Linked DNA regions of Rattus norvegicus. The protein of the gene in region 2 interacts with the protein of the main gene of each other region in a pairwise test. Links are inferred from orthologs where the notes say so. Each region holds a gene or a part of one and is shown on either strand. Other genes may lie near its edges.

Evidence for each region. The genes of interacting proteins can lie anywhere in the genome.
Region 1: the proteins of Mapk14 (region 2) and Dusp1 interact in binary tests that used the Homo sapiens proteins (3 or more experiments, as listed by UniProt). The link is inferred for Rattus norvegicus from reciprocal best matches to the Homo sapiens genes MAPK14 and DUSP1.

The regions. Positions count from the first base shown.
Region 1 is NC_086028.1:17,183,490-17,187,654, forward strand, and holds Dusp1 (dual specificity protein phosphatase 1), read left to right. Parts: upstream 1-1,363; 5' UTR 1,364-1,514; coding exon 1,515-1,881; intron 1,882-2,105; coding exon 2,106-2,251; intron 2,252-2,624; coding exon 2,625-2,844; intron 2,845-3,104; coding exon 3,105-3,475; 3' UTR 3,476-4,157; downstream 4,158-4,165. UniProt on the Homo sapiens protein: Dual specificity phosphatase that dephosphorylates MAP kinase MAPK1/ERK2 on both 'Thr-183' and 'Tyr-185', regulating its activity during the meiotic cell cycle.
Region 2 is NC_086038.1:6,775,356-6,778,861, reverse strand, and holds part of Mapk14 (mitogen-activated protein kinase 14), read right to left. Parts: intron 2,441-3,506; coding exon 2,311-2,440; intron 71-2,310; coding exon 12-70; intron 1-11. UniProt on the Homo sapiens protein: Serine/threonine kinase which acts as an essential component of the MAP kinase signal transduction pathway.

The DNA of each region.
Region 1 (4,165 bases), on a different chromosome or scaffold from region 2:
TGTTCTGAGAGGTAGGGAGGGCAGTGTTATCTGAAGATTTCTTTTAGGATCGTTGCTCAAAGGGATGTAAAAACGCCCTTTAAAAATAACGTGTCCCGAATTTCCAGAAGAATCTAGGCAGAACGCAAGTGCTAAGAGAGGCCAAAGCGGACGTTGCTGGGCAAAGACACATGGTGGCCAGTAAAACACCTCCCCTTGCAAAGAGGAAGAAACCGCAGAATGTTCCTGACTCGGCACCCCTGCGGAGTGGTGCAATGTTTATGTTTGTGTATCCAACTCGGTGGTGTTGGCAGCAGGCTCACGGCCTACCCCGTAGTCATGGAGTTTTGGGGAAGGACACAGACATCGTTGGGGTCTTCCCAGGTGTGATGGGTACAGTTTGTTCCACAGAGTGGAGGATTCAAAGCTCTCAGTCCTGAGTCATTGGTGTGCTCAGCTTCTGTTCAGTAGAGTTGAAGAGCTAGGCATTAGTGAGGCGGGGACAGGAGGGTCTCTGTGAGTTCAAGGCCAGCCAGGGCTAAACAGCAAGACCTCTCTCAAACAAAACAAAAGAAAGTTGTGTTGGGGGCAGAGGAGCAGTGGCTGGCAGCATCTTCTGATGCCTCGCGACGACAACGTGCTTGACGGTCCTTGGGCGGCGCTGTGGAGCTCTATCCAAGTCCCCCCCCCCCCCCTCCCCGAAAATGTCAAACCTGGGCTCCACACCCGAATTTGCAACCCTCCTCCCTTTGCTCCAAGTAAGTCCTCTAGGGACCATCGTAGTTAAGATAACACTTCGGTGTGGGGGTTGTGGGGGGAGCTAACTGGAGACACTCCTTTGTCAGCGTAAAACTTTTAAAGTGAGATTCAAGAAGGACGTCTGGACTCTCGCTGTTTGTCCTCAGTATAGCCAGAGGGTTATAGACCGAGTTGGTCATCTCTCACTATCCACTTCCCTTTCCCGCTCTGCTCCCGCGCCCACCACCCCAGCAGCCAGAGCGGGGCCAACTGAGACCGTGATCCCAGGAGTGGCCGCGCGCTCGTTAGAGACCCGGGCAGGGGAGCAGGGCAGGTGTCCCCGGGCGCGTCCTCAGGCCGAGCCTTCTGGCCACCCCGGCTGGCAGCGCGCCGTCCTGCCTGCGAGCTCGGAGGGCAGGAGGGTGGGGGCCCGGCCCGGAGCCAGCGCTCAAAGCCGACCCGCTCCCAGGCCGATGACGTCTTTGCTTTTGGCTTTGGTGGCGCCAAGCCCGGCAGGGCGGGTGACGTCACCACCCGGTCACGTGTCCGCCATTCAAACAAACAAACCGTTCCCCCCCTCCTCCTGTGCCGCGCCCGGGACCGCCCCCAAGAGGCCACATAAAACCGCGCTCCTCCGAACCAGCGCGCAGCAAAGGACTGGCGGGCGGGACGCGCGGTGAAGCCAGATTAGGATCAGCGAGCACTTGAGGATTTAGGGCCACAAAAAACCGCACAAGATCGACAGACTATTTCTGGAGAGCTGCAGAACGGGCACGCTGGGGTCGCTGGTGCTGGCCATGGTGATGGAGGTGGGCATCCTGGACGCCGGGGGGCTGCGCGCGCTGCTGCGAGAGCGCGCCGCTCAGTGCCTGCTTCTGGATTGTCGCTCCTTCTTCGCCTTCAACGCCGGCCACATCGTGGGCTCAGTGAACGTGCGCTTCAGCACCATCGTGCGGCGCCGCGCCAAGGGCGCCATGGGCCTGGAGCATATCGTGCCGAACACCGAACTGCGCGGCCGCCTGCTGGCCGGAGCCTATCACGCCGTAGTGCTGCTGGACGAACGCAGCGCCGCCCTGGACGGCGCCAAGCGCGACGGCACCCTGGCCCTGGCCGCGGGCGCGCTCTGCCGAGAAGCGCGCTCCACTCAAGTCTTCTTCCTCCAAGGTACGCGCAGGACTTCTGCCATCAGCTAAGGAAGGGGGGCGTCCCACCTGGAGTGTGAGAGCGCCTGTGTCCAGGGGCTTGTCACTGGCTTTGTTTGACTCCGGGAACAAAGACTTCCTAAACCTTCCTTGTAAACTCGCAGCCCCTGGTGGGTGGGTGACTTGTCTCCAGGTACTGCGTCGGCGGCGGCGTTAATGGGAAAATATGTACCTTTGTATTCTCAGGAGGATATGAAGCGTTTTCGGCTTCCTGCCCTGAGCTGTGCAGCAAACAGTCCACCCCCATGGGGCTCAGCCTCCCGCTGAGTACTAGTGTGCCTGACAGTGCAGAATCCGGATGCAGCTCCTGTAGCACCCCTCTCTACGACCAGGTTAGTAGGAGTCCGGGGTCTACGAGAGGCTGGGAGGTGGCAGAACTGGCAGAGCTCTGGGAAGCTTGTGCCAGGGAGAATAGAGAAAGCGGCTGTAGCTTTATTTATACTAGCGGGGACACGAGGATCTTCATTTCACCATGAAGCAATTGGATGGAGCTGAATTCTCCCAGTTGCTGGCACGGAAGAGCTTGTTGGCTCTGTCCCGGCCAACCGGCTCGATTCTTTACTATTATTTTCATATGTCAACAGCAGTACTGAGGTCACCGCTTTTCAGAAACTCCCTTTTTCAGTCGGGAGTTTTTGTGGGCGTGGGTCCTGGCGTGTTCACGCCGAACAAGCTTGATGAACGCTGGATTGTTTTGGATTTCAGGGGGGCCCAGTGGAGATCCTGTCCTTCCTGTACCTGGGCAGTGCTTACCATGCTTCCCGGAAAGATATGCTCGACGCCTTGGGTATCACTGCTTTGATCAACGTCTCGGCCAATTGTCCTAACCACTTTGAGGGTCACTACCAGTACAAGAGCATCCCTGTGGAGGACAACCACAAGGCAGACATTAGCTCCTGGTTCAACGAGGCGATTGACTTTATAGGTAAGTGGGATAGATGTCTGGGATCTCTGCGTTCTTCTCTACTGTAGCTGCTGAGCCCAACCTTCCTCCTCACTGAGACTTGAATAGTTGGACTGACTGTCTTGTCCAGGATTATACGTGCAGACACCCAATCTGGGTTTAAATCCCTTGCTATCCTTTGCACAGCATATGCACAGTCCCTATGATAGCATGAGGGCGTCTTTGATCAGGGCTCGGCTGTCCTCCTGAGTTTTTGAGTAAGCCATAACTTTGTTTTTCAGACTCCATCAAGGATGCTGGAGGAAGGGTGTTTGTGCACTGCCAGGCCGGCATCTCCAGGTCAGCCACCATCTGCCTTGCTTACCTCATGAGGACTAACCGAGTGAAGCTGGACGAGGCCTTTGAGTTCGTGAAGCAGAGGCGGAGTATTATCTCCCCCAACTTCAGCTTCATGGGCCAGCTGCTGCAATTTGAGTCCCAAGTACTGGCCCCTCACTGTTCTGCAGAAGCTGGGAGCCCGGCCATGGCTGTCCTTGACCGGGGCACCTCTACTACAACGGTCTTCAACTTCCCTGTCTCCATCCCTGTTCACCCCACGAACAGTGCCCTGAACTACCTTCAAAGCCCCATCACAACCTCTCCGAGCTGCTGAAGGGCCAGGGGAGGTGTGGAGTTTCACGTGCCACCGGGACGACACTCCTCCCATGGGAGGAGCAATGCAATAACTCTGGGAGAGGCTCATGTGAGCTGGTCCTTATTTATTTAACACCCCCCCCCCCAAACACCTCCCGAGTTCCACTGAGTTCCCAAGCAGTCATAACAATGACTTGACCGCAAGACATTTGCTGAACTCAGCCCGTTCGGGACCAATATATTGTGGGTACATCGAGCCCCTCTGACAAAACAGGGCAGAAGGGAAAGGACTCTGTTTGAGCCAGTTTCTTCCCTTGCCTGTTTTTTCTAGAAACTTCGTGCTTGACATACCTACCAGTATTAACCATTCCCGATGACATACACGTTTGAGAGTTTTACCTTATTTATTTTTGTGTGGGTGGGTGGTCTGCCCTCACAAATGTCATTGTCTACTCATAGAAGAACGAAATACCTCACTTTTTGTGTTTGCGTACTGTACTATCTTGTAAATAGACCCAGAGCAGGCTTTCAGCACTGATGGACGAAGCCAGTGTTGGTTTGTTTGTAGCTTTTAGCTATCAACAGTTGTATGTTTGTTTATTTATGATCTGAAGTAATATATTTCTTCTTCTGAGAAGACATTTTGTTACTAGGATGACTTTTTTTTTATACAGCAGAATAAATTATGACATTTCTATTGAGTTCTCGG
Region 2 (3,506 bases):
AAATCACTCACACATCGTTGAATTCCTCCAGGGACCTTGCAGGTGTAAACACATCCAACAGACCAATCACCTGCAAGAACAAATAAAATCAAACAGTCGGAAAGCAACAGTCTTGCTGCAGTGCCTCTGTAGAGTTTCAGGTAGAGCGATCCAAGTGCAGCCACGGCCGTATGCCAGTGTGCTAGCTTCCTACCCAGACTGTGTTTCTGGTACACATGTGCTAACATCATTCTTTCTGGGGGTTGGGGGTTTGCAGAGAGGAGTTCATATGGCCCAGGCTTGGACTCCGGATCTTCCTGCTGCCACCTCCCAAATGCCCACAGACATGCGCCACACGCCTGACCTATCACTCCACACAGTGCCAGGGAAACCCTGCAACTTAGAATTCGTTCACATGGCCACTAGTGTGTCAGACAGCGAAAAAAGAATTAGGACTCCTTCCTTATGTGATCTTTATTTTGTGTCTGTCTGTCTCTCCCCACCCTCGCCCTCTCCTGTGCCTGTGTCCCTGGATGCCGGAGGGAGGGTAAACCCCTGAAGCTGGAATTACAGGCAGGTTGTGAGTCACCCAACCTAGATGCTGGGAACTAATCTTGGGTCCTCTACAAGAGCAGCAAATCCTCAGTCACTGAGACATCTCTCCAGCCCCAAGTCTTCATTTTTCACTGCATAAAATTGATAGACTGAGAGGTGAGATAATTTCTACATTAAGTATTCTGGTCTTTCCCACCCCCACCCCCACCCCCCCCCCCCCCGTGCCTGCTTTGTTCAAAAATACAAAGCAACAGGGCTGGAGAGTGGCTCAGTAATTCCAACCCAGACAGAGCTACAGAGAGAGACCCAGTCTCTCTCAAACAAACAAACAACACAAAGCACAGCCAGTTTCGGGGCGCACACCTTTAATCCGAACACTAGAGAGGCAGAGGGAGATGGATCTGAGTTTGAGGGCAGCCTGGTCTACAGAGGGTCCAGGACAGCTAGGGCTGCACAGAGAAACCCTGTGCCTAGAAAAACAAAACAAAACACACCAAACGCTAATATGGGGGGCTCCCAACTGCTAGAACCTGAACATCTTAATATAAGAATGATGGTAAGCAGCCTGCAGATGCAACAACAAACATGAACAGAGCCTCATCTTTCGAGATGGGGGAGATGACTCAATCATTCGTCCAGGGCCCAAAGTTCAGCTCTCAGCATCCCATCAGGGGCCTCACAAGCACCTGCAACTCCGGATCCAAATCCAGATGATCTGACACCCTCTTCTGTCTTCCACGGCACTGCCCACATGTGTGATACCCTGTCCACATGTACACAAGCATGTAGACATAGTTAGAAATTTAAAAAAATTCATCTTCAAATGTTTTTGGGGTTTTTTGATTTATTTATTTATTATATATAAGTACACTGTAGCTGTCTTCAGACACACCGGAAGATCCCATTATAGATGGTTGTGAGCCACTGTGTGGTTGCTGGGAATTGAACTCAGGACCTCTGGGAGAGCAGTCAGTGCTCTAACCGTTGAGCAATCTCTACAGCCCAAACGTTGTTTTTTTTTTTTTCTTCCCGTTTCCACATTTTATTATCATTTTTCTTTTCTTTTTTTTTTTTTTCTTTTTTCTTTTTTTCGGGGCTGGGGACCGAACCCAGAGCCTTGCGCTTCCTAGGCAAGCGCTCTACCACTGAGCTAAATCCCCAACCCCCCAAACGTTGTTTTTTAATCTTTCATTTTATGTTTTGCCTGAATGTTATGTGGGTGTTATCACGCGTACACAGTACTCACTGAGACCAGAAGAGGGCAACAGATCCCCTAGAACTGAAGTTATAATTGAGGGCCAATTCCCACAAGCTGCCTTTTTATATCCATAACCTCACATGTGCACATGCACAGAAGCACCAATGAAGAGATCCGTAAAAGGAAGCACTGGGTGGAGACGGCTCAGCAGGGAGGAGCAGGGGCTACTGTTGCAGAGCAGCCAGGTTTGGTTCTCAGCACCCAGTGGGCCTCAAGCACCTGCGATTCCAGGTCCAGGTCTCTGCCATCTCCTGGTCTCCAAGGTACTGCACCCCACGGTGCACGTAAACTCCAGCAGGCAAACACATGCACTGACACTAAATAAGAATAGGAAACTAAACTCTCCTTAAGCTCGTGGAGTAGAGTACAAGTCTGGGAAGAGGCTCCATCAACCTTACTATGACCTTACAGCCCCACGGCACAGAACCCTCGTGCAACGCAAACCCAACCCTACAGTGTGCTGTGTCCCGGCAGCACTGCACACAAGGCCTTGCTCTGCGCAGAGAGGAGGAACTCACATTCTCGTGCTTCATGTGCTTCAGCAGCCGCAGCTCCCTGTAGGTCCTTTTGGCGTGAATGATGGACTGAAACGGTCTCGACAGCTTCTTCACTGCCACACGATGTCCCGTCTTTGTATCAAAAGCAGCACTAATTAAGGAGGAAGAGCAAAAGCCCACCGTTAAACGAGCTCCGAATACTATTTCTAATACTTTCCAGGCCTTTTCATTTTCAAATTAAATTTGTGGCAAGACACAAAAAGAAAAACAGAAACCAAGATAAAGACTATAATGACTTATTACCCACCACCCAGGGAGGCTCCTATTTATTCAAGATGTTTCTTTTTGCCTCTATTGTCTGTATCAGCAGTTGGAAAGTATTTTCCACACAGTAACATTTTAGATTCTCCAAAGCCCAGGTAAGGTCCCCGACACAGCTCCACGGCGTGTAGTTGTTGCCTGAAAGCAGGCTGATAATGGGAGCTCATAAGATGGGTGTGGCTGTGTTCAGGTGGCAGCCTGTCCAGGAACCTCTGTATGAAGTCTGTGGCCCAGGCCTGTCACCTTGAGACTATATGCTGATCCTAGTGAAGGCTCCAGAAATTACATTACTCCTAGGAGAAGGAGCCCTCCCAAGTGCCCAGAGATGGAGGCACACACAGTAGGAAGCTCTTGGATGTGGGGAAGTGACAGGAGAACGAAAACTCACAACAGTGATGCACACGGTGACCACTGAATAAACCCAAGTGGGATGAGCATCAACTTGATGCCAGTGCCGCACCCCAGTGGCTAGAGCGGAATTCTCCCGGCCCAGTCTGTCCCTACTCAGAGTCTTCCTTTCGCCTCGGAACCATCGGTTTGATCTGTGATGACCTCTCGGGAGTTGCCAGCCTCCTTTCTGAGCCTTGTTCTCCCACAGTGGCAGTAACTTATACCAGACACTTCTCTCACAGTGCTGTCCTCAAGGGTGCTCTCACACAGTCACTTTGCTGTGGCACACATGACCACCACGTTCCCTTTGTTTCCCAAAGCCCTGGCCAGCAATCCTGAAGAACCCTCAGCTCTGCTGCAATTACCCGCTGACTAGAATTCCCATTACCCTCCGAAAGTCCGTCCCTCTCACAACGTACCCCTCCACCCCCAACTTCTGACCACATTCCTGGCAACTACATCATCCGACTGGAGGGCATATCCAGCGTCCTGTGTCCTGACCTCTC